Sus scrofa: one gene and its partners. The protein of the gene in region 2 purifies or fractionates together with the protein of the main gene of each other region. This does not show direct contact. Links are inferred from orthologs where the notes say so. Each region holds a gene or a part of one and is shown on either strand. Other genes may lie near its edges.

Region 1 (3,193 bases), on a different chromosome or scaffold from region 2:
TTTTGACATTTCCTCTACCCAGAACCCTCTTGTCCCACTGCTTCTGTCTGCCAGGGCCTTCTCCCTCTCCTAGTTTACTCCTGTGCATCCTTTAGGACCCAGTTTAGGTATAATTTTTTTCTGGGAAGCCTTCCCTTTATGTGTGTGTGCACACACTCCCTTACTGTGTTCTTCATAACACATTGTATAATTACCTTTCTCATCACACTGTATTATAATTTCCTATCTACATGTGTTCCTTACTTGGCTATGAATGATTGGGAGCCTAAGGGTCTATATATTTGTTAATTGTTCTATCTCTAATGCCTAGTAAGTACTTGTTGAATAAAGTTAGACCACTGTTTTCCAAACTTGTTTTCAGAATAATTTCCCCCAGGATGTTAGAAGAGATGCCATGAAAAATGAGCTTTGTAGTTAAATAAGGAAATGCGTTATGAATTTCTAAGAGGGGATGTACATTTTATTACACTGCCCTGAACTTGATAGCCGTGGTGCCCAAATACCAGTGTGCTCAACCCCAGAAATTTTAGATTCTGTGAATGGGGCCCAGGAATCTATTGTTCTAAAAAAATGCCCCAAGTGATTCTCATTTGAGGCTTAATTTGGAAACCACTGGTATGCAATGATTACAAAGATTGTTAAAATATGTAATACATTGGGAATAGTTCCTAGTACATATTAACTGCTGCTGTTGTTGATGTTGTAATTATAGTTATGTATGGCTGTGAAACACATTTTTATGGCATATTTGTTAACATTTTACAAAACTTAGTTTGAGAAAGGCTGAATTAAGCAAATACTTTGGTGCCACCTGTAATCAACTTTATTTCCTCTTTCTTCCTCATCCCTCACATCCAGTCAGCCACCAAATCCTGCTTATCCCATTTCAGAAGTGGCCCTAAAGTCTACACATAAGGAGTTCCTGAGCCCAGGGATCAGATCCAAGCCACAGCTGTGACCTATGCCACAGCTGCAGCATTGCTGGATCCTTTAACCCCCTGTGCCAGGCTGGGGATTGCACCTGCGTCCTGGCTCTGCAGAGATGCTGCAGCAGGAATTCATGCTGCCCATTTTTAAATGCCACTCTTCTTTCCCCCCCACCCCCACCCAATCGCCACCAACCTGTGAAGCCTTCCCCACCTAGTCTGGACAGAAGAACTTATTCTCTCATCTTGTCCCAGAGCACTTTGTATGTAACTTTATTATGGCACTTATCACTTTTATGCTTACCTCCATAGCCTTAGCTCATGTCCTTCTCTCCCATTAGCATGCAAGCTAATAAAGAGCAGATGCCATATGTGAGTCATCCTATCTCTCAACACTTGATTAGTGCCTCACACATAGTAGGGGTTCATATTGTTTCAATGAATTTAAACAACTAAGCCTAAAATTTAGCACTTTTTTTTCTCTTTGTACAGAAATTAGTGCTGAAGAACAGCTGAGGCTCCTGCAAGAGGAGAAGCTTTGCAAAATCTGTATGGATAGAAATATTGCTGTGGTTTTTATTCCTTGTGGACATCTGGTCACTTGTAAACAGTGTGCTGAAGCAATTGACAAATGTCCGATGTGCAACACAGTCATTACTTTCAAGCAAAAAATTTTTATGTCTTAGTCTAACTACAGTAGGTGTGTTATGTTCTTATTACCCTGATTGAATGTATGATGTGAACCAACTTTCAGAAATCAGCATTGAATTTCATTAGCATTTGCTACCAAGTAGGAAAAAACATAAACTGCAGTGTTTACAGTTGGCAGTATAAAATTTGAATTTCTGGATTTTTCAGGATTTTAGCTATATTATTGTCCTATTTTTTCACTGTTATTTAATTGAAACCCTAGACTGAGAAGCATCATATTAAAACTGACTGCAGTGTGTATCTGTGGTACACTGACTTAGTTTTCTAAATGTTAGTGAATTAATCAACTGAATTTTTCATTCTTTTCAGATAGGCTTAACAAATGGAGCATTCTGTGAAAACATGGAGATTAATATCCCCAATCACATAATTTGTTTTGTGTGAAAAAGGAATGAACTGTTCCACACTGGTAGAAAGATAGAGATTATTTTTAGATGTTTCTGTTTTAGTAGTCTGTCCATTTTGTTTTAAAATTATAGTCATGTACTTGGGTGAATGATTTTAAAAAATAATTTTGCCATTGTTAAAAGGGTATTTAATGATAGAATACCATTTAGCCTACATGTACTGACATGGAAAGATATCAAAGGTGTATTAAGTGTAAAATCCAAGTGGCAAAACACTATGTATAGAATGAGCCAAATGAAGGTATGTGTGTTTTGTATACATAGAGAAAAGATTTGGAAAGATAGGCACCAAATGTGGTTTCTTTTGAGGGGGGTGTGGGCATGGGTCCCAGAGGGGCTGTACAGGGGCCTTTCACTTTCTACTCTTTTCATTTTGTTCTGTTTGAATTTTGTATAAGTATGTATTACTTTTGTAATCAGAATTTTTAGAAAGTATTTTACTGATTTAAAGGCTTAGGCATGTTCAAACGCCTGCAAAACTACTTACTGCTCAGCTTTAGTTTTTTTAATCCAAGAAGGCAGGGCAGTTAACCTTTTTGGTGCCAATGTGAAATTTAAGTGTTTATATGTTTTTCCTGCTTTGTGGATGAAAAATATTTCTGAGTGGTAGTTTTCTGACAGGTAGACCATGTCTTCTCTTGTTTCAAAATAAATATTCCTGATTTTGTAAAATGAAATATAAAATATGTCTCAGATCTTCCAATTAATTAGTAAGGATTCATCCTTAATCCTTGCTAGTTTAAGCCTGCCTAAGTCACTTTACTAAAAGATCTTTGTTAACCCAGTATTTTAAACATCTGTCAGCTTATGTAGGTAAAAATAGAAGCATGTTTGTACACTGCTTGTAGTTATAGTGACAGCTTTCCATGTTGAGATTCTCATATCATCTTGTATCTTAAAGTTTTATGTGAGTTTTTACCATTAGGATGATTAAGATGTATATAGGAAAAAATGTCAAGTCTTTACCTAAATTTTTTTTTATTTCTTGTCTAGTAATAGTAATAGATACCTCTGAAATAAATGTTCTTTGAGATCCATAAAAACCTCTTGGAAATTATAAAATATTGACAGGAAAAAATAGTTATTTTAATATTGAAGAGAAAATAAAACTTGAGTAAGAATCAATACAGATTTAAAAAATTAAAGTTT
Region 2 (3,958 bases):
GGGGTGCTGCGGGTCTTGGTGCGGTGGCACATTCAGGCCAGGCCCCGGCCTTGCTGCCCCGGAGGCTCACGGTCACAGCTCTGGCCTGGCCGCCTTCCTGGGCAGCCCCGTCCCACAGGCCCCGCTGTGTGGATGGGCCCCTTTGCTCTTGGCCTCCGGGCCTCGTGTCCGCGAGCTTAGCGGGAGAGCTTGGCTCCGTGCCGGCTGCCTCTCCCATGTCCTCCGCCGCCTTCGAGGGCACCTTGTCATTCTGCCGGGAGAGGAGCCGTCTGCGGCGGCTGAGGGAGGAAGGAGCTCCGTCTGCTCCCCAGGACTTGCCCGACCGGTGCCCCCACCACCAGTGACCTTCACAGGGCCCCTCGTGCCCCGTGGCCAGGGTGACGGAGGGATTCAGTGACCCTGGGTGGCGTAGACCTGCTGGATCGTCATCCGCTTGCTCCCTGGGAGGGTTGAGACACCGCCCAGATGAAGAATGAGTAACGGGTTATGTTGACTGTTCTCAGTTTTTACTAACCTCAAACCAAGTTCTCGTGCATTACTAGGTTGGAGAAACGTATGGTAAGGATAGACCCTCCAGGGGCAAAGACAAGCGCTTGCCGTATGTAAAACTTTCAATCGACTTCAGTTTCCAGCTTGATCTGTTCTCTCGTTTCACTTAGTTTTCCTAGGATTTCCCGTCGAGCCTCCCGGTCCTTGAGTGTTTGACCTCTGATTCACTCAAGGTTGAGGTCGGCTCGATGAAACGTGCTTTCACTGGAGCCCATGGTCGACCTGCTGGCCTGAATCAGAGCCGTTCCCAAGCTGCTTTCTCCCCTCCTCTCAGGGCACGGGGGCTTTGGTGGAAGGGGCCCTCTCCAGGCTGCTGGGGAGACGCGAGGCTTCACCCTGGCGCCCCGGCCACGGGCTTGGCGGGAGCGGGACTAACCACCCTGGCGGCCCTTCCCCCGCTTCGGTGTTGGGTGCGGGCCTGTCCGGCGGGCGGGCTGTGCGCTGCTGAGCTCACCGGCCCCGCTTGGAGGCGTGATCAGCCCAGGGCCAGAGGCCGTGGTGGTTCCTGGGCAACCTTGTGCATGCGCTCAAATTTCATGTCATTTACAAAACGCTGTCGTGTGGGAGGTCGCTCCCTTCCAGGTACAGGGTGTCAGCTGAGGATTGAAAGTGTGTGCACTTCACAAAGGAGTGTCATTGCCCTTTTCCAGGAAAATAGTTCATAAACCTAGCATTTTAGAAACTTTGGCTTATTTTTTTTTTTTAAAAAGGATGTGTAAACGTTTAAATCTCACCTTTTGCACAATAAAGTGCATGTTCTCCAGAGGCCCTGCTTGGGCCTGAGAAGCCCTGACAGCCGGCGAGACGCCGCTTTCACACGAGGCCGTCCTCCCTCCCGAGGGCCAGCGGGTGAGCGAGGACCTGAGACCCACCTTGGGCCCAGGGCCCTGACGGCCGGTCCTTCCTAAAAGCAGTGTAGTTGGAGCCGCGTGAGCCCCTAGAAGTGTTTGGACCTAATGTTCTGATGGGGACGTAATGAGAAACGTAGCGTTGTAGATGATGTTTTTGAAATGGATTCTACTTTTGAGGAACCGAGACCAGGTTTTAAAGAAATGCAGGCGTAGCACCTTGACACAGGATTTTGTCCCCAGGCAGGAACAGCATTAAGCTCCCAGGCAGAGCTGGAGTGATGGAAAGAGGCCTGTCTGTCTGTGGCCTCCAGTAACAGAGCGTGTCTTGTGCTCCACTCCCAGTCTCACCAGTAACTTGTGCTTCACGTGCTGGTTCTGGTCTGGGAGCGTCTCGACCAGAGAGGGTGCAGGGAGCCGGCTCGCGCCTCAGCTGCTGGTGCGCAGGACGAGCCGGGGCTTCTGGCGCTTTCCCCGCAGCATTTAGGAAGCAAAGTGACTTCGCCACGCCAAGACCATTCTCTAAACGCCTCCCTGTGTTTCTTTTTACAGGACGTATTCTTAATTTGCTTTTCTCTTGTGAGCCCTGCATCTTTTGAAAATGTTCGCGCAAAGGTAAGTGGGATATTTTATTTTTATTTTTTATTTTTTCGTCTTTTTGTTTTTTCTAAGGCTGCACCCTTGGCATATGGAGGGTTCCCAGGCTAGGGGTCCAATTGGAGCTGTAGCCTCTGGCCTACACCACAGCCACAGCAATGCGGGAACCGAGCCGCATCTGCAGCCTCCACCACAGCTCACGGTAACGCCGTATCATTAACCCGCTGAGCAAGGCCAGGATGGAACCCGCAACCTCATGGTTCCTAGTCGGATTCGTTTCCACTGCGCCACGACGGGAACTCCAGCAAGGTGACTTTAGTATGCAGAGTTCTCAAGTTTCAGGGCCGATGCAGAAGTGCTGGGTTCCTTGTTAAAATAACGAGGCAGTTGGGAGCCAGGTGAATAAAAATGACGGACTGGCGGCACCGGTGGGCTTGGTGGAGATGACGGCGGTGGGTCAGGGATGCGTCTGGCGGGGAGGAGACGGTAGAGCTGAGTCCTGAGTCCTGCTAGTTTGGTTCTCATCCTCGAATGTGTGAGGGGTTTTGAAATGACCTAAGAACTTGACCAGAAACCAAAAACAGAGTGGCGGGCGGGGGGCTGCCTCGCCGGTCCCACGGTGCAGTGGTTGGTGGTTCTGGAGGGGAGCCTGGCCGAGGGCAGCGTGCTGTCCCCTGCAGGAAGGCTCCGTGGCGACGCAGGGACTCGGGATTGACACAGCTTGGCACCGGTGTGGCCGTAATCGGCGGGAGGGCGGCTCCCACCAGAGTCGTGACTTTGCTCCTGTCCCCGCGCCTAGTGGTACCCAGAAGTGCGACACCATTGTCCCAACACGCCCATCATCCTGGTGGGGACGAAGCTTGATCTCAGGGATGATAAAGACACGATCGAGAAACTGAAGGAGAAGAAGCTGACTCCCATCACCTACCCGCAGGGCTTGGCCATGGCGAAGGAGATCGGTAGGAAACCCCGCGGCGCCAGGTCTGCTTGGCCCGCCAGAGGCCGGAGTCCCGCCCGGGGAGGTGGACCCGGGTCTGGCCGCCCCTGCAGAGACCCGGCTGAGCCGGGGGGTGGGATGGGGGGGCGAGGCCGAGGCTGAGAGGCCGTGTTCCGTCCGGCAGGTGCTGTGAAATACCTGGAGTGCTCGGCGCTCACGCAGCGGGGCCTCAAGACAGTGTTCGACGAAGCCATCCGAGCGGTTCTCTGCCCGCCCCCCGTCAAGAAGAGGAAGAGGAAGTGCCTGCTGTTGTAAACGCCTGGGGCCCGGGGCGGGGGCCCGTCCCGCCCCGAACCTTTGTCTGCTTTGCTCAAATGTGGAGCCTTCGCACTCAATGCCAAGTTTTTGTTACAGATTAGTTTTTCCATAAAACCGTTTTGAACCAATCAGTAATTTCTAGGTTTTTCTCTGTTTAAAGTGTAAGAGTTTAAACTTTCACATTCTATTAAAGTTTAGCCCTAAAATGACAAGCTTTCCTAAAGCCTTATTTTTCAGAAGCCCCTGTTCTTGCTCAGATGAAGAGTTGCCAAAATCCCTTGTGAGCCAAGTTGCGTTGTTGGGCTGAGAACACTAAGCACTAAGCTGTTGACAGAGACCTCTCTCCCTGCGAGACCGTCCCTTCCGAGGCCGGCGGCTTTCCACCGTGAAGGGCGGGCGTAGCGCCTCCTTCGCGAAACGTCGCCACGGAGCGCACCCTCGTCTATCCGCCCGTGCCCATGACCTGACGTTGTACTGTGCGTCCTGGCGAGGAGGTGACAGCGCAGCTCTCTGCATCAAGCTCTGATTGCGTAGTGAGGGTTTCTTTAAGCGATGAGTGTACTAGCTTTCGTGAGCCTTGAACTGAACTCCTGCTCACGTGTTCCCTCCGGCGAGGTGTTCTGGCCGTGGGTGCGCGGGGTGGAGCGTGGGGAGCGCCTGTGATCGAAGGATGAAGACAGTATTTTGACAAGATACGGAGGTTAATTTA
Region 3 (4,017 bases), on a different chromosome or scaffold from region 2:
CAGATGTGGCCTAGAAAAAAAACAAAACAAACAAACAAACAAAAATTAAGTAGCCTGAAAAAGAACTCAAAACAATAGCAAATAAAACATCACATTTAAGCAGGCTAGTCTGAATCCACACTCTTTAGCACCCTCTATGGTTCATGCAGTACCTGCTCTGTGGAGACCTTCAGAAATGGTTGCTAACACCCTCCACCTCCTCATCGGTTATTGTTTTTATTATACAATCCATTTCTACTCTTCCAAAAAGCCTTCCCCAACCAGCCAACATCAATTCTGCACTGCCCATTAAGTTCATTTATGCCTCACTCTTCTGACCTCTTGTGGGCTTTCTACTCCCACCCACTGCCTGCAAGCAAGCCCGTGCAAGCCCCAATCTCCAGCATGGTATGCACCTTCAGGGCATTTACTCTTCCATCTAGTAGTAGATCAGTGGGGCTGGGCTGGTTCCTTACCAGCCCAAAGGAGACCTTTCAAAAGCATCTTGGGGGATGTACAACACAGAGAATATAACCAATATTTATAACTATTAATGGAGTACATACAACCTACCTGAAACAGAATATTCTGTACCAACCATACCTCAATTAAACACAAACAAGGAGTTCCCTCTGTGGCTCAGCAGGTTAAGGACACGACGCTACCTCTGTGAGGAGGCAGGTTCAATCTCTGGGCTCACTCAGTGAGTTAAGGATCCAGTTTTGCCACAGGTGATGTAGGTAGCAGATGCAGCTCGGATCCCTGTTGCCCTGGCTGTGGAACAGGCCTCAGCTGTAGGTCCAATTGGACCCCCCCCCCTCGCCTGGGAACTTCAATGTGCCACAGGTGCGACCATTAAAAAAAAAAAAAATCTAAAAAACAACCAGCCATCCACGGGAAAGAGATGTCCAATGCTGGGCAGAGATGTCTCAGAGTCAAGAGCTGGAGAACGCAGGCCTCCACTCCAAAGAGACCTGTGAAGAACAGAAAGGGTGCCTGATGCATACGCGGCCGCAGAATGGAGAAACTTCAACTCGGACTGCGGCAGGTTAGCCGGCTTAATTCCAAATTTTAACGTTTACTTCAACTACCAGTTCACTTCAAACAAACAACTTTACTGTTCCAAGTCATACAGCCACTCAATGGCCTCTATTTTCTACCGAACTGCAACAGGAAGCTAAACTGACCTAACCACTCGGCCCGGGGCCGTTAAGTGCTTCCTGAGCTACCTGACCTTCTATCTGAGCCTGGGGCAGCTACAACCCTTCCGCTGCTTCCGCGTTCTCACAGCGAACTCAGGAAAACAGCTCCGCCCACACTAAACAGTGAACTCAGGGCCAAACAAGGGAGATATTCTGAAGGGCCGCGCACGTTTTGAGAGTCAGTGAAAAGTACTTTTTCCGGGATAAGAAACGCGCCCCAAACATACTGAGTCACCAACCGCCGCTTCGGGCCGGAAGCCACCGCACTAACACCGCCCCCCTTACGTAGTTAAGCGGAGTTTCCCGTGAGCCTCCGGGCGCGCGCGAGGACTACGATTCCCGGCATGCTCGGTGGCTGGCGAAATTAACCCTTCAGGGACTGCGGCTGCCCTTCGCCCCGCCTCCTCCTCTTACCTGGACCCCTCAGGGTGAGTTTTTGGGGCTTTGGGGAGGGACTCTTTCCTTTATTTAATATTTAGGGTGTGTGTATGTGAGTGTGTGTGTGTGTGGTGTGTGTGTGTGAGAGAGAGAGAGAGAGAGAGAGAGAGTGATGTGCTTATTTTCCTAAAATGAGGCAATTGGCAGTAATGAGATTCAGAGACTTTTTTGGAGTGGGAGACCCAGCATCAACTCTCTGAACCCCAGGACCTAAGTGGGATCACTCTTATCTTCCTCGGAATGCTGTTTAAATCGTCTCTTTCTTTAACCCCAGAACAAAACTAGCCAGTGACGCCCCCCCCCCCACCCCATATGCCCGGACTTCGACTCTACCCCAGCGCTCCCAGCAAGGTTTGTAATCTGGCAACCTAGTCTGGAGGTTTTATTATCCCTCTGGTTGGGAATGAGTACTCATGGAGGCCAAAGGGCCTCCCACGTCCTTTTGGATTAGAGATTTTAGAAATTAAGCCCTTTGCCTCTCAGAGCCTGCCCTTCCCCCCAGGTGCAAGGAGCCCCTGCAGGTTCAGACACCCTACTTGTGTCTGACCTGAATGACCATAGGTTTGTGGACAAGTGTTCCTTCCTTGGGAGTATGGATGGTGGGTGTTAAACTGTCCTTGCCCGCATCCCCGCTCCTTAAACGTTTAACACTGGGTACAGGAACAATCGGAGGGGGAGGTCACACTCTTCTCTTACTATTCTGTCTCTATTTTGTACACAGTTCCAGTTCTGGGCTGGCAGGAAGAGGGTTAGAGAATTACAGTATTCAGGATTATGAAGCTGTGGGATCCACTATCCCTGCTTCTCATCCATGGTCAGAGAGGAGCAGAGAGTCTGCTTGTTTTTTTCACCTTTCACTACTCCCAGACCCCACTTTAACAATCACAGTTCACAAGGCCCCCATCCCTGCTTCAGCCTTCAAGAGTCTAAAGCTGCTAGGAAAAAGGGCTCTTCTGAGTCAGAGGGTTGAGGGCATTGAATGCCTGGATCTCCTTCTTTGCCTCACCCCTATTTTACTGTTTGTCACTGGCAAGCATCCTATCCTCACCCCGGAGGTTAACTCCCCCATTCTGGGCAGTCTCTGGCTTCCTCCCCCTGCCCCCAAAGGGGCCATTGTTCTGGTCAGCATTTGGGGCCAGGTGGACAGAAGGGAGAAGACCTTGGGGCAGGAGTCCTGAACCATAGGAGGCCAGGGGAGTGAGGGCAGGCCAGCATATCTCTCCTCTATCTCACCCTCCCCATCGCCAACTGGCTCCCTGCCCCTGCCCCCGCCCCTTGACATCCCAGACTCCCTGGCTATTTAAACAGAGATGGGTGCCCCCATCGGCACACTGTCCTTTGGCCACCGGACATCATGCCTCCCAAGAAGGATGTTCCCGTTCCCGTGAAGAAACCAGTGGGGCCCCCTAACCCCAAGCCTGCTGCGCCTGCTGCCAAGCCAGCAGCAGGGGCCCCTCCAGCCAAGCCACCACCAGCGTCAGCGTCAGCGCCAGCACCAGCACCAGCACCAGCACCAGCTGTCCCTTCAGCCTCTGCGAAGATCCAGGAGCCCCCCGTCGATCTCTCCAAAGTGGTGGTGAGTCCCTGGAAAGTGAGAAAAGAATTTGGAGGGAGTGGTAAAGGGTGGGATTCAGCCTAGAGGACTAGGGGGTATCTAGAAGGTAGGGAATCAGTAAGCACTGGATGATAGCGGGGGTTTCCCTTCGTCCCCTATTTGGAAGGATTCAGGGTCATGACTCTGCTATTGTCTTTGTTGAGCTCTTCCTCTAATCTATAACACGTTCTGTGTACGTATATACACACACATTCTCACTGACCCTCCTGCTGGAGGCAGGGACTGTGAGATGGGGAACATCTGGGTTCTGAGGACAGTTTCAAGGTGAAGGGAGGGAGCTGCTGCCGGCCCCTGGCTGACTGTTCAACACGAAAGGCCACAGCTCTGAACCCCAGGAAGGAAGGCTGAAGAGGACAGACTTGTTAGACAATCACAGCTGGGGGCCAGGGGTAAATTTAGCCTTTGTTCAGCCCCCAGTTATGTGAGGGATGCAGGGCTCAGGGCAGTAGAGGGAGGGGAACAGGTGGCATGGGATTAACCCTGTTCCCAGGAAACCCTCCCCCCAATAATTCCTCCTCTTGGGATTCTCCCAAGGTCTGGAGCTGGGAATGGGACTGAGGTGGCTGGGCTCCCAGCCTGGTCCCTTTGGGCCCCTCCCCAGAAGTGGTTGCCAGTTGGTCGGGAGGAGTGCTGGAGAGAGATTGAATAAGCCCTGTCATCCCTCCTCACCTGCTCTTTTCTTCCACAGATCGAGTTTAACAAGGACCAGCTGGAGGGTGAGGAGAAGCTGGTCCCCTGAGCCCACTGTCCATCCCAAGCCCCTGGTCAGATCCTCTTTCTATT
Region 4 (3,258 bases), on a different chromosome or scaffold from region 2:
CTCAACAGAATTTTAGCAGTTGGTAATAAAACTTTTAGATGTACAAAGATAGAGGGAGTATCTGAAAGAAAACACTGATACAGCACATTTCTTTACCATCTTTGTGTATCTTTTTAAAAATTTTATTGGAGTGTAGTTGGCTTACAAAGTTGTGTTAGCTTTAGGTGTACAGAAAAGTAAATCAGTTATGTGTATACATATCCATTCCTTTTCTGATTCTTTTGCCTTATAGGTTATTACAAAATATTGAGTAGATTAGCCTGTGCTATAGAATTGGTCCTTGTTACCGATTTTATATGGAGTAATGTGTATATGTCAATCCCAACCTCCCTTTTTATCCCTCCCCCCCAGCGTTTCCCCTATGGCAACTATAAGTTTGTTTTTGGTTTGTTTTTTTTTTTTTTGCTTTTTAGGGCGGCACCTGTGGCATGTAAGTTCTCAGGCTAGGGGATGAATCAGAGGTACAGCTGCCAGCCTACACCACAGCTACAGCCACTGCCACAGCCACCTAGGATCCGAGCCATGTCTGCAGCCTACACCACAGCTCATGGTAGCGATGGTTCCCCAACCCACTTAGCGAGGCCAGGGATCAAACCCGCAGCCTCACGGATACTAGTTGGATTCGTTTCTGCTACACCACACTGGGAACTCCCATAAATTTGTTTTTGAAATCTTTATGTCTGTTTTGTAAACTCTTTTATATCATGTTTATTAGATTCCACATATTAGTGATCTCATATGATACTTTTATTTCAGTTAGTATGATAATTCCTAGATTACCTTTTCTTTATATATCCCTCTTACCCAGAGTTATGGGGGCCGTGACTGTAAAGAAGTTATCTTTGGGATGCAGATGTGTATTTAAGTTGTGCTTCATTGTACACGGTACTTTGTATCAGGGAGAGGTGCTGTCAAGAGGCCCCCGTTCAGAAAGTGACATTCAATTTAATGGAGTCCTCTTTCATTCCTGAACCTATTGTAAATTCTGGGGAACTTTGGGTTTATAATGTGAATAACTAGTCTAGTCATTACTACTTAAAACAGAAAGCCTTTTAAGTATATAAACTTTAGAGAGGAGAATACCCTATTTATTAATTCTGTTTCTTCTGATAGGAGGGGGTCCGCATGGAAGAAATAGTTGAAGGTTGTACTGGAGCCCTTCATATCCTAGCTCGGGATGTTCACAACCGAATTGTTATCAGAGGACTAAATACCATTCCATTGTTTGTGCAGGTATGTTGGTTTTAAGTGAGACATTCTAGGTTTTATATGTCAATCAAATTTCAGGATTTTAAAGATAAACAAAATTTCATGAAATTAGGGACCAAAATAGGGGCACCAGCATTTAATTTTTCATTTACTAAAATGGCAATACTGTCCATGAATCTCAATGTATAATGTCTTTTTAGTTGAATATATTTAATTTTACAAAAATTCCCTTTATTCGTCTTGGGCAGTAGAAGGAGAATCACTGAATGTCAAGAAGAGGGAGGAGATAACTCTCTGCTTTGAGAGGTGCTCAGTTTTGAAGGAGTGAAAGCTGATCTGGCTGCTAGAGCACAGGCCTCCAACCACCTCTGGAGTTTCCAAATCGTAGCTTAAATAAAATTGTCTCTTAAGAAAAGGTTTGCTGCTAAAAACACTCCAGAAAACCAGTCCTCCAGAGCATCAAACATTCAAGAACATATATTTAGAGTATATGATTTAATGTAAGTAGTACAAATACTGCCTGCAGTCTGAATTGGGAATGTTTGCACCACAGTGGGGTGCCTGCCTTGTTTCTACTTTAGGTTTCTACTTTTGGTAGTCTTTTTTCTCTTATATTCTTTTCAATTATGGTTTATCATAGACCACTGAATATAGTTCTCTGTGCTATACAGTAGAATCTTGTTCAACTTTATATTTAATTAGGGGTTTGTGTGTGTGTGTGTGTTTTCTCCTTAGCTGCTTTATTCTCCCATCGAAAATATCCAAAGAGTAGCTGCAGGGGTCCTCTGTGAACTTGCTCAGGACAAGGAGGCTGCAGAAGCTATTGAAGCTGAGGGAGCCACAGCACCTCTGACAGAATTACTCCACTCTAGGAATGAAGGTGTGGGTAAGTAGGAAAGGAACCAAAGCCTTTGGCTGGTGTGTATGGTGAAGCCTCAGCTTTTCCTCAAAGACCTTTTTTCCCATCCTCTCCCAGCAACATACGCAGCTGCTGTTTTGTTCCGAATGTCTGAGGACAAGCCCCAGGATTATAAGAAACGGCTTTCGGTTGAGCTGACCAGTTCTCTTTTCAGAACAGAGCCAATGGCTTGGAATGAGGTAGGCACATTTATTTGGGTGTTTGTCAGAGCGGGTAAGGCAGTTTGTGGTTTCTTCTCTACTCAGTCCACATTCATTTGCATTGACTGCATCCTTGGCTTAAATATTCCTTCTTTTACACTACCTTATCAACTGCTGTGAGGGAAAATTAACAGCTTTAAACAGCCTGTTCAGAACAAACCAGCTACACAGTTTAACAGTAGAATTTGTAAGGGAGATAGATGAAAAAGTTACCAGATTAAAAAACATTTTTCAGGAGTTCCTGTTATGGCTCAGTGGTTAACGAATCTGACTAGGAACCATGAGTTGCGGGTTCAATCCCTGGCCTTGCTCAGTGGGTTAAGGATCCAGCATTGCCGTGAGCTGTGGTGTAGGTCGCAGATGCGGCTCGGATCTGGCGTTGCTGTGACTCTGGCGTAGGCTGGCAGCTATAGCTCCGATTGGACCCCTAGCCTGGGAACCTCCATATGCCACAGGAGCGGCCCTAGGAAAGACACACAGATGCACACACACAAAAGAACATTTTTCAAAAGGCTGTTAGGAAAGAAGTAATCATTAAACACTGTTAGGTGGAGGTCACTTTATCAATACTTCTTAAAAAATGCTCAACTTTTCACCTATTTTCTACTCAAATTTCTATTAATTTATTCAGTATTTGTCCTCAGTACAGACTTGTTCACTGAAACATTAGAACCATCCTGAAGGTTTATTCAACTATGGTATATAGGCATAAAGTGAATTATATTTGTTGAATGAATATAGAGAGACCCTACATATGTTGTTAGGTGGGAAAAAAATAAACTGCCAAACTGTAGTATGTTAGTTGGTTTTTTAATAGGCAATCCTAACATGTTCCAACTTGAGCCCTAAACTTCTCACCTACTCCCTTTCTCCAGACCTGTTCCTGTAACAGTTAATGGCAGCTTCATTCTTCTAGCTGCTCAAGCTCTA
Region 5 (2,973 bases), on a different chromosome or scaffold from region 2:
TGGGGGCGGGGGCGTTGGAATGCGAAGGAGCCTTTTCAGTCTCCGTTGTGAAAACTCTGTTTTCCTTATTAAATTATTTTAATAGAGCCTGGCGTTGAGCTTGTGCATCTGCCACGCAGACTCGCTCCCATCCAGGACACTCCTAGGCCATTTAGGTCGTGTTTGAGGTAGAGGTTTTATGATACCAAAGTGGGCACCTGCCGGCCTGCCTCCTCTTGCCAACCTGGCCTCAGACCTGGACACTTGCTAGAACCCCTCCCACCACCACGGGTGAGCAGGTGGCGGGGAGTCGGTGGTGGTAGTTACTGAAACATTGTTATTTCCAGGATGACTCTAAGAGACAGCAAACTCTGGGGCTTCCCTCCTCTCAAGCGCAGGGCCTGGAGCAGTGCTGGTCTTCAGTGGCTTCATACTGTTGCCAGGTTGGTCTTTCTCCATTTCAGGTCTGCCCCCTCCCCTCCCCTTCCCCTCCCACCATTCCCTAAGCATCAGAAACAGCACATGGTCACTTATTTATTTTTGATACAAATGTACATGACACACATCTTGACAGTCAGCCCACCCACCACCACACAGGTAGAGCCTGGCCCCTGGCACAGAGGTGGGATGGGGAGAGGAGCTGGTGGGCACTGCCATCTGCCTCTCAGCCTTCCCAGGCTGCAGGGACCCACACACTGCAGGTGCTGGCCTCTCAGAGGTTACAGGGAGGGGGCTCTCAGCTGAGTCGGGGACCCCGGGGAGCCAGCCCCAGGCTCAGGTGCTCAGTTCTCTGCCCCAGCCAGCACATTCCCCCTCCACAAGGGGAGGGGAAGAGAGATGGAGAGAAGTGGTTTTCATTTTAAGTTCATAGAGAAAGGGTATGAGTGGGGGAGCAAGGAGGAGAGGCAGAGGGCAACACCCCAGCTGGTTACCCCGGCAGTCCCTGGCCCCAGGGTGGGGGCGGGGGGCAACCCCCAACACCGGTCCTTCCTTCTGCTCTGGGCCCCTCACCCCTCACACAACTCCAGACGAGCCAGGCCTCCGGAACGGCACTGCCGCCCCGCACACTCACACACAGGCACGCAGGGACACTCAGTTACCACGACGTTAAAATTAAGGGGTGGAAGAGAGGAAAGAAAAAAAAAAAAAAGATTTTTCCAGTGTTTTGCTGCTGGGGACCCCGGGATCACAGGTTTGGGGCCTGTGCCCTAGGCTGGGGCCGTTTGGCATTAGAGGAGAGCAGCAGGGGGCTGGTGGCTACAGGATGGGGACATCCACAGGTATTATGTACAAGGGGGATGCCCCCACTCAGCCCCCAATAGGGCTGGACTGGCTCATGGGGGTGGGGTGCATGTAGGGGAACCGCCCCACTTGGAGTGTCCCCACCCAACCCTTTGCTGAGGGTGCCCCAGGGGGCAAGGGGCTGGGAGTGACGCCTTGTAGACCCCTGCACACTAGAGGGGAGGGGATGCTATGTACAGGGAGAGGTGCATGGAATGTGGGGGACAGAAGCTTCTGCCACCTCACCCCCCCATTCTTGGGGGCTCGAGGGGGATGGGCACCAGGGCACCTGGCTGCCAGGGGAGAGTGGCAGCACTAAGGGCACTTGTGCCAGCGGCTCTGTTAGGGTGGGGATTAGTGTCTGGAGTGGCCCAGCTCCCATGGCCAGTGAGGTCCCGGGGTGCGGGTGAGGGTGCAGGGAGAGTGGTCACTGCTTCTTCTCTCGGGTGGTGATGGTGACCAGCTGCTTGGCAGCCTTGGCGATGTCATAGGCGCACTGGATCACCTGCTGAGTCAGCAGCTGGAAGTCCACAGGGGCGCCAGGCTCCGGGGGCACAGTCTTCCGGCACTCGCTCTGCAGCCGGTAGGCGCTGGCGTTGAGCAGCCGCAGCGAGCTGCGCACTGGCTCCAGGGCTGGCCTCTGGAGGGAGGGCAGAGGGAGCGAGGCCTCGGACTCCCACCCACAAGCCAGCGCTACTGGCAGTGTGGCCACGTCTCCACCCAGGTAGCAGTCAGCTTCTCCACCCCCGCCCCACCCAGAGGTGCCCCCCAGTCCTGCTCCCCTCTGGCCCCTGTACCTTTGGGAAGAGAGAAGCCATCTCCGTCACAGCCAGATGGATCTTTTCTGAGCAGGGCACAAAGCTGTGGGGGGCAGACGGTAAATCAGGGAGGCGGGCTCTCGAGAAGGGGTCCAGGGAGAGCGGAGCTCTGGTCCCTCTCAGGCCCTCGGCAACACCCCAGAAGCCCGCACGAGCCTCCGCCCACCTCCGTACCTGTCGTGCTTGAATTCCTGGGCAGCCCGCAGTAACTCCTGAATGTTCTTGGTAACCTGCTCCGTCTTCAGGATGACGTCCTCTGTGCTGGGAAGGCCAGGGTCCAGGTCTCCATCCAGGCTTTCCAGCTCGGGGTGGAAGTCCTCCTCCTTGCCCAGCTCTAGAAACCTCTTCCCTTCCAGGCTGGGGTGAGACAGGCAGCCCGGCCGTGAGGTCGCTTGCCTTCGCCCTCGCAGACACCGGGGGGCCACTCAACCCCCGCCCCCGGGTGCCTCACCCCAGCAGCGGGTCCCCACTCTGTGTGTTCTCATAGTCACTGTCGGCGCCGCTGCCATGGCGAGAAAGCTTGCTCTGGAGGGGACAGGGAAGGGGCGGCAGGTGGGGTGCATGTTCGCAGGTCCCCACAGGCTGCCCGTTGCCTCCCCAGCACACCTCTCAGCCAGCCCAGCCCTCGGGCCCTGGGGATGAGCGTTACCGTGTGGCGGCTTCCTTCCTGGGAGCATGACAGCAGTGGGGAGGAGGGAGTGAAGGGCACAGCTGAGGCCGACACCCCCTTCCGGATCTGAAACCCAGGTAGGGCTGGAGTCAGTCTCCTCCCACCACCCACCTTCCCTGCAGTGAGGCTGGGACCACGTGTGTCTAGTCAGCCCTGTGCCCGGCATCCAGTGCAGAGCCTGGCACCTGCTGGGGCTCAAGACCTGTTTGTGGGAACCGAGCCACC
Region 6 (3,500 bases), on a different chromosome or scaffold from region 2:
GGCATTATTTTGTTCTTTCGTATGGCTGGGTAGTATTCCATTGTGTATATATTCCACATAATCCATTCATCTGTCAGTGGACATTTAGGTTGTTTCCATGTCTTGGCTATTGTGAATAGTGCTGCAGTGAACATGCGGGTGCATGTGTCTTTTTCAAGGAAAGTTTTGTCTGGATATATACCCAAGAGTGGGAATGCTGGGTCATATAGTAGTTCTACATTTAGTTTTCTGAGGCACTTCCATACTGTTTTCCATAGTGGTTGTACCAATTTACATTCCCACCAACAGTGTGGGAGGATACCCTTTTCTCCACACCCTCTCCAGCATTTGTTATTTGTTGCCTTGTTAATGATGGCCATTCTGATAGGTGTAAGGTGGTACCTCATAGTAGTTTTGTTTTGCATTTTTCTAATAATTTGTGATATCAAGCATTTTTTCATGTGCCTCTTGGCCATCTGTATATTTCCTTTGAAGAAATGTGTATTCTGGTCTTTTGCCCATTTTTCAATTGGGTTGTTGGGGTTTTTTTTGCTGTGCAGTTGTATAAGTTGTTTGTATATTTTAGAGATTAAGACCTTGTCAGTTGCATCATTGAAACTATTTTCTCCCATTCCATAGGTTGTCCTTTTTTTTTTTTGGTTTCCTTTGCTGTGCAAAAGCTTGTCAGTCTGATTAGATCCCATTGGTTTATTTTTGCTTTTATTTCTGTTGCCTTGGGAGACTGACCTAAGAAAACGTTTGTACTGTTGATGTCAGAGAATGTTTTGCCTATTTATTCTATATTTCTTGTAACAAAATTGTAATAGATTCTATAAAGGCTCTGTAAACTATATAGAAATTAAATTTGCTTTTTCTGATTTAGATAATCAACTGTAACCAATCTTGAAAGAAATACTTTTAATTTTTCTCCCTTAGAAAACATAAGTCCAGAAGAAGAATATAAAATTGCCTGCCTCCTCATGGTCTTTGTGGCAGTTTCTTTGCCAACACTGGCCAGTAATGTGATGTCTCAGTATAGCCCTGCTATAGAAGGTAATAGTGGTTTAAAATTGTATTGGCACTGGAAAAGTTCAAGTTTTGATATAGTAGCTACTTTTCAATTAATTGATTTTTTTATGTAATAAAATGTGGGTTAAAGTTCTGCCACTTACTAACTGTATAACCTTGAATAGTCGAATTTTCTTTTTCTAAGCCCCAGTTCCATAATCACATACGAAATGTGTATGTGAACCTGTGGGTGCCTGTGTGTGGCAGTGAATGGTGAGGGAGTTTCTAACCCAGGATTGTGTTAAGGATTGATTGAGGAAATGCTCATAAAGCAGCCAAGCATTTATTTTTTAAATTTCTAAAACAATGTAAAATTTAGAAATGATTTCTTTTAGGGGTCTTTGAAAATGTGCCTCTTCAATACAAATAAAAAAATTTCTTGCTCTTTTGCTACACTATTTTTCAAAGCAGTAATTCTTTGAAAAATGAAAGAAAAGCAAGGCAGGTTATGCCAACTCTGTATTTAATCATGCCACTATTCATATAGATTACGGAGTCATTAAAGATTACTTTTTGTGTTTTTGATATTTTGGAGTCACACAGAAACCAAAACCCTATTTGCACTTTCTCAGGGCACTGCAACAACATACATTGCTTGGCCAAAGCCATCAACCAGATTGCCGCAGCTTTGTTTACAATTCACAAAGGAAGCATTGAAGATCGGCTTAAAGAATTTCTGGCGGTATGTATAATCAAGTAGCAAAACTAATGATGCTTTTTAAAGAAAATTAAAAATCGTAACTATGAGATTATAACAAAGTAAATTTTATTTATTTACTTATTCATTTTTGAAAAAGGAGCAGATGAAGGCAGGGCATAAAATCAAGGAGCAGTTAATTTAGTATTTTTTCCTTTTGACTTAGAAGTTTCTCATTTCTAGAGCTCTGCAGTATGACCTTTTTTCCTAAACTGGTGTTTGGACTATCCTAGAATTTTGCCTAGGATTTGAAAGAGAAAAAAACAAAACGAAGGAAAATTGAGGCAAAGGGTGAATGTTCCCACTAACAGGATATATTTTACTAATTTCCATTTATGTGGAGAAAGACTGTTAATGGTCCCAAACTCAAAAGGAAGACTACTACTCACTATCCAGAGAGGGTAGTAGTGCCAACTGTTGCCTCATGAATATGGCTCTTAGTTTCTGTGGAAGGGTAGCTCTTTCCTTTATCACTGTACTTTTTCTATGTATTACTTAAGAGAAAGTTGCACTGTGATATAAAGCACACTATAATATTTGCTTCTTTTCAAGTTATAAATGCTGTTAGCTTTTTAAATTTTTAAAATTTTGAAAGCAAATGTAGTACTCACTTAGGACAAAATAACATCTATTTCAAAGGGAACAGTATTAAGAGTTAAATTTTTTCTTTTCATTTTTTTTCTTTTATTCAAAATTTAGTGTCCTAATCTCCCTATGGTCCCATTAACTCACACTCAATTTGAAAATTTCTTATTTGAGAATTAAGAAATATAGTTCATACAGATATTGGGAAGAGAAAAATCAATTTAAAATCATTTTTTTAAAAAAAGGTTTGTTCTAAAAAAATGAATTTTAGAGACCAATAAGAATATTGAATTACATTTATTATCTTGTGTCTGTTTATACCGTAATAGCTCTTAAATTTTGCTTGAATGTGAAGAACCTAAGCTCACCTTGTTATTTAATTGCTCATTATCTTAAATGTAGCCACTGAATGGTTAAAATGTCTTACAAGCACAGTGAAAATAGACAAGTAACTTTTGAACATTTTACTTTATTTTAAAAACTTATTTATTTAAAATGTATGTATACTTTTAAGCTTGCGTCCTCCAGTCTACTGAAAATTGGCCAGGAGACAGATAAAACAACAACAAGAAATAGAGAATCTGTTTATTTACTGCTAGATATGGTAAGTCTTATTTTAATTTTTGTTAACAACAACGAAGTTCCAGTCATTCCTGATAATCTTTTCTTGGTATTTTAGTTATTAAATAACATTAAGAGCTTTTATGTGTGTCCATTGCCCTAAGGTGAGTCTCTTGTATACAGCAGATTATAGGCTCTTGCTTTTTTATCCAGTCTGCCACTCTGTGTCTTTTAATTGGAGCATTCAGTCCATTGACATTTAAGGTAATTATTGATAAATATGTATTTATTGGCATTTGAAACCTTGTTTTCCACTTGATTCTGTGTTTCTCCTTTGTTCCTTCCTTTCTTTGGTTGGATGATTTCCTTGTATTTTATGCTTGTGTCCTTTTCTTTTTAGTTTTTGTGAATGTAACGTTTGAAATTGATCTGTGGTTGCCCTGTTTTTCAAGTATGTTAACCCCTTCCTTTATCTGCTTGCTTTAGCCTGGTAGTCATATAGGCTCAAACACGTTTTAAAAAAAAAGTTAGATTTTCTTACTGTCCTTCCCTACATTCTGTGATTTTAAAGTCCTTTTATAAGATCTCCATATTTGTCCTTTTGCTGTTC
Region 7 (3,500 bases), on a different chromosome or scaffold from region 2:
GAAGGGAACCCCAAGTGATCATGAGGCTATATTATTGAGTGTAAATGGTGGAAACTATAAAACTCTTCAGTCCATAAAGTCAAAAATAAGAAAACTTCAAACCAGTAAAGCACTTTCTTGTCTTCTCCTTTCATAAAATTTAGTTACTAATTATTTTTGGAAAAGCAGACTATTGAAAACATTGACAAGGTTGGCCTCATCTAGATCATCATTCAGCCAGCCCTCCTTTCTGGTGCTCAGGGCAAGGTGAGGGTGCTGGAGGGGAACCCACAAAGCTCACAGCCCAGCTCCCTAGACCTGGAGAACTAGATCAAGGATTTACAATTAGGATTCAGAAAAGATTGTCCTAGGACTAATAAAGGGAAGTGCACAGTGAACTGTAAACTTCTGTCCTGGTACCCTAGGAAATGGAAAGAGCCTTTACATGTATTTAATTAAATTTGTAAGTGGCAGGAGTTCCTATCGTGGCTTAGTGGTTAAAGAACCTGACTGGTATCCATGAGGACGTGGGTCCAATCTCTGGCCTCACTCAGTGGGTTAAGGATCCAGCGTTGCCATGAGCTGTAGTGTCGGTCACAGATGTGGCTCAGATCCCGCGTTGCTGTGGCTGTGGCGTAGGCTGATGGCTACAGCTCCGATGGGACCCTTAGCCTGAGAACCTCCATATGCCATGTTGTAGCCCTTAAAAAAGACAAAAAAGGGAGTTCCCATCGTGGCTCAGTGGTTAACGAATCCGACTAGGAACCATGAGGTTTTGGGTTCGATCCCTGGCCTTGCTCAGTGGGTTAAGGATCCGGCATTGCTGTGAGCTGTGGTATAGGTTGCAGACGAGGCTCGGATCCCACATTGCTGTGGCTGTGGTGCAGGCCGGTGGCTACAGCTCCGATTAGACCCCTAACCTGGGATCCTCCATATGCCGCAGGTGCAGCCCTAGAAAAGGCAAAAAGACAAAAAAAAAAAAAAAAAAAAAAATAGGTGGCCCATTCATAATAGGAATAATAATACAGTCTAGCATGTTTGACTAGCACTGTGCCATTACTTTCACAGACAGTAATTTCACTTGATCTTCATAAAAATCTCATGAGATAGGGCAGGAATGAACATTCCCATTTTTCTGGACCAGAAAACAAACTTATAACGGGAACGAAATAGCCTAAGCTGACATCTCTGATTAGTGATAGAGTCAGGACTAGATGCCTCTACTCCAGTTTGTTACTGTCCTCGGCCCCTGCCTCTAGCCCAGACCAGGCCTCTCACAGATGCTCTGTGAAAACAGACAAGATTGGCCACCTCAGGGCCTCCCAGACTGTCCTGGGATGGGGTTCTGGCTGTGGGTATCAGACACCTAAGGTGCGGGCTAAAGGTGCTGCCTTCTGTGGGAAAGGATGGGATGGATATTAGGATCTGGGGTGTTCCCCAGGGGAGACTAAAGGGGGCCAAAGAAGAGGCTCCCAGGCCAGGTTGGAGGCCGAGTGAGAGTTTAATGGGTAACAGGGCCCTGTTCCTAGGTATTGACATAAGGGCAAGAGCGAGAGACAAGGCCCAGAGGTGTTTGGAGGAAGGCAGCAAGGAGCAGGCTGTGGATATTGGGGGGGGGGGAGGTGCTTGAGTTCAGCTCTGGTGCTGCTCAGCCCAGAGAAGAAGCAGGCCCTCAGGTGTGGATGGGCAGGGCCACGGTGCTCCTACCGCTTTGCCCCCAGGTATGGGATGCGCTATGTGGCCAAGGTCCTGAAGACAACTCTGGCAGAGAAGTTCCCTGACGCCACAGAGAGTGAGGTCTATAAGGCAAGTGTTGTCTTCCATCCCCCACCTCTCAAGCTCACCTTTGCCCTGATGGTGCCGGTGAACCCGCATTCTGAGACCAAAGGATAGAATACCCCATGCTGGAGTTCTCGCTGTGGCTCAGTGGCTAACAAATCCAACTAGGAACCATGAGGTTGCAGGTTCAATCCCTGGCCGTGCTTAATGGGTTAAGGATCCGGCATTGCCGTGAGCTGTGGTGTAGATCACAGACTCGACTTGGATCTGGCATTGCTGTGGCTGTGGTGTAGGCCGGCAGCTGCAGCTCCGAGTAGACCCCTAGCCTGGGAACCTCCATATGCCGCCAGTGTGGCCCCAGAAAAGACAAAAAGACAAAAAAAGAAAAGAGAGAGAGAGAAAGAAAACCCCATGCTGTAAAAATCCAAGAAGGAAAATTCTCCATCCTGTCATTTAAGCCTGGCTCACCAGCCGGGTTCAGATGGCAGCTGGAAAGGCATCCGGGGTGTGAGTTAACAGTAGACCAACCTGCACTTGGCAGATCTGGGTTCTACTCCCAGCTGTGGCTCAAGTTCAGGGTGTGACCTTGAGCAAGTTGCTGGCCTACTCTGGCTTTGTTTTCTCTTCTATACAATGATGGGGTTGACCTAGGCAGTCCTTCCAGCCAAGTGAGCTGGAAGAGTGGGGCTGGGGCCGTGGAGGCAGAACCCAGGCACTTCTAGGATCTCCTCTGCCCTCAGGTGGTAGGGAACCTCCTGTACTACCGCTTCCTGAACCCGGCTGTAGTGGCCCCTGATGCCTTCGACATTGTGGCCATGGCAGCAGGTGGCGCCCTGGCCACCCCGCAGCGCCACGCCCTGGGGGCTGTGGCTCAACTCCTGCAGCATGCTGCGGCGGGCAAGGCCTTCTCCGGGGAGAGCCAGCACCTGCGGGTCTTGAATGACTATCTGGAGGAGACGCACCTCAAGTTCAGGTCTTGGGTCCTGGCATCCTATCCCTCCCTGTCCGTCTTTTCTCCTTCTCCCATCTTCTTTCATGTACCACTTTGGCTTACATCCACAAGGAAGAGAGGCATAGAGGTGAAGGGTATAGTTAGTGAGCTGGAGGACAGCTGGTTGGAAAAACTCCCCAGTGGAGAAAAAAGAGGACTATTGAAGGAAGGCTGCTTGAAGGGGACACTGGGAGAGAAGGAAGGGCTGGACAGAGGGGCCGGAGCCCAGACTGGAGAGTCAGGTGGCTTGAGCATCAGTGGACAGGGCCGGAGGAAGGGCTGCTGTATGCGTGGGGGGTGCTGGCCCGCCCCCCTCTCTCACATGCTCTTCCTCTGGAGACAGGAGGTTCATCTGCCGAGCCTGCCAGGTGCCAGAGCCAGAAGAGCGCTTTGCGATGGATGAGTACTCGGACATGGTAGCCGTGGCCAAACCCGTGGTGTACATCACCGTGGGGGAGCTGGTCAACACACACAGGGTGAGGCGCCGCAAGCTGGGGGTGCTGTGTAAGTGGGCGGGGCTTTGGAAGTCCACGAGAGGGTGGGGGGCCCGGCCCTGGAAGGAAGGCCTGGCTCTGACTCTGCATCTCTTTTTCTCCCCTCATCCTGTAGCTGTTGCTGGAACACCAGGACTGGATCGCCCCCGATCACCGTGACCCCCTGCACGAGCTCCTGGAGGACCTCGGGGAGCTGCCCACCATCCCTGACCTCATCGGTGAGTGCCCTCCTGACAGCTGGGCCCAGCGGTAGGGGC

The links.
Region 1: the proteins of RAC1 (region 2) and XIAP purify together in Homo sapiens (affinity purification with western blotting; 3 studies listed by BioGRID and IntAct, with this or other methods). This does not show direct contact. The link is inferred for Sus scrofa from reciprocal best matches to the Homo sapiens genes RAC1 and XIAP.
Region 3: the proteins of RAC1 (region 2) and MYL6B purify together in Homo sapiens (affinity purification with mass spectrometry; 3 studies listed by BioGRID and IntAct, with this or other methods). This does not show direct contact. The link is inferred for Sus scrofa from reciprocal best matches to the Homo sapiens genes RAC1 and MYL6B.
Region 4: the proteins of RAC1 (region 2) and CTNNB1 purify together in Homo sapiens (affinity purification with western blotting; 4 studies listed by BioGRID, with this or other methods). This does not show direct contact. The link is inferred for Sus scrofa from reciprocal best matches to the Homo sapiens genes RAC1 and CTNNB1.
Region 5: the proteins of RAC1 (region 2) and GIT1 purify together in Homo sapiens (affinity purification with mass spectrometry; 3 studies listed by BioGRID). This does not show direct contact. The link is inferred for Sus scrofa from reciprocal best matches to the Homo sapiens genes RAC1 and GIT1.
Region 6: the proteins of RAC1 (region 2) and NCKAP1 purify together in Homo sapiens (pull-down; 4 studies listed by BioGRID and IntAct, with this or other methods). This does not show direct contact. The link is inferred for Sus scrofa from reciprocal best matches to the Homo sapiens genes RAC1 and NCKAP1.
Region 7: the proteins of RAC1 (region 2) and IQGAP3 purify together in Homo sapiens (affinity purification with mass spectrometry; 3 studies listed by BioGRID and IntAct, with this or other methods). This does not show direct contact. The link is inferred for Sus scrofa from reciprocal best matches to the Homo sapiens genes RAC1 and IQGAP3.

What each region holds. Positions count from the first base shown.
Region 1 is NC_010461.5:101,434,369-101,437,561, forward strand, and holds the end of XIAP (E3 ubiquitin-protein ligase XIAP), read left to right. Parts: intron 1-1,418; coding exon 1,419-1,612; 3' UTR 1,613-2,693; downstream 2,694-3,193.
Region 2 is NC_010445.4:4,782,553-4,786,510, reverse strand, and holds the end of RAC1 (ras-related C3 botulinum toxin substrate 3), read left to right. Parts: intron 1-542; coding exon of another isoform or gene 543-602; intron 603-1,949; coding exon 1,950-2,012; intron 2,013-2,793; coding exon 2,794-2,953; intron 2,954-3,115; coding exon 3,116-3,246; 3' UTR 3,247-3,458; downstream 3,459-3,958. UniProt on the Homo sapiens protein: Plasma membrane-associated small GTPase which cycles between active GTP-bound and inactive GDP-bound states.
Region 3 is NC_010447.5:21,553,134-21,557,150, forward strand, and holds the start of MYL6B (myosin light chain 6B), read left to right. Parts: upstream 1-1,217; 5' UTR 1,218-1,609; intron 1,610-1,943; exon of another isoform or gene 1,944-1,970; intron 1,971-2,927; 5' UTR 2,928-2,973; coding exon 2,974-3,195; intron 3,196-3,922; coding exon 3,923-3,950; intron 3,951-4,017. UniProt on the Homo sapiens protein: Regulatory light chain of myosin. Does not bind calcium.
Region 4 is NC_010455.5:25,202,295-25,205,552, forward strand, and holds part of CTNNB1 (catenin beta-1), read left to right. Parts: intron 1-1,113; coding exon 1,114-1,233; intron 1,234-1,944; coding exon 1,945-2,095; intron 2,096-2,185; coding exon 2,186-2,307; intron 2,308-3,258. UniProt on the Homo sapiens protein: Key downstream component of the canonical Wnt signaling pathway.
Region 5 is NC_010454.4:45,767,672-45,770,644, forward strand, and holds the end of GIT1 (ARF GTPase-activating protein GIT1), read right to left. Parts: intron 2,815-2,973; coding exon 2,728-2,814; intron 2,604-2,727; coding exon 2,530-2,603; intron 2,436-2,529; coding exon 2,253-2,435; intron 2,122-2,252; coding exon 2,058-2,121; intron 1,901-2,057; coding exon 1,688-1,900; 3' UTR 501-1,687; downstream 1-500. UniProt on the Homo sapiens protein: GTPase-activating protein for ADP ribosylation factor family members, including ARF1.
Region 6 is NC_010457.5:88,430,750-88,434,249, reverse strand, and holds part of NCKAP1 (nck-associated protein 1), read left to right. Parts: intron 1-915; coding exon 916-1,032; intron 1,033-1,619; coding exon 1,620-1,729; intron 1,730-2,843; coding exon 2,844-2,933; intron 2,934-3,500. UniProt on the Homo sapiens protein: Part of the WAVE complex that regulates lamellipodia formation. The WAVE complex regulates actin filament reorganization via its interaction with the Arp2/3 complex. Actin remodeling activity is regulated by RAC1.
Region 7 is NC_010446.5:93,546,733-93,550,232, forward strand, and holds part of IQGAP3 (ras GTPase-activating-like protein IQGAP3), read left to right. Parts: intron 1-1,700; coding exon 1,701-1,785; intron 1,786-2,498; coding exon 2,499-2,731; intron 2,732-3,092; coding exon 3,093-3,225; intron 3,226-3,358; coding exon 3,359-3,461; intron 3,462-3,500.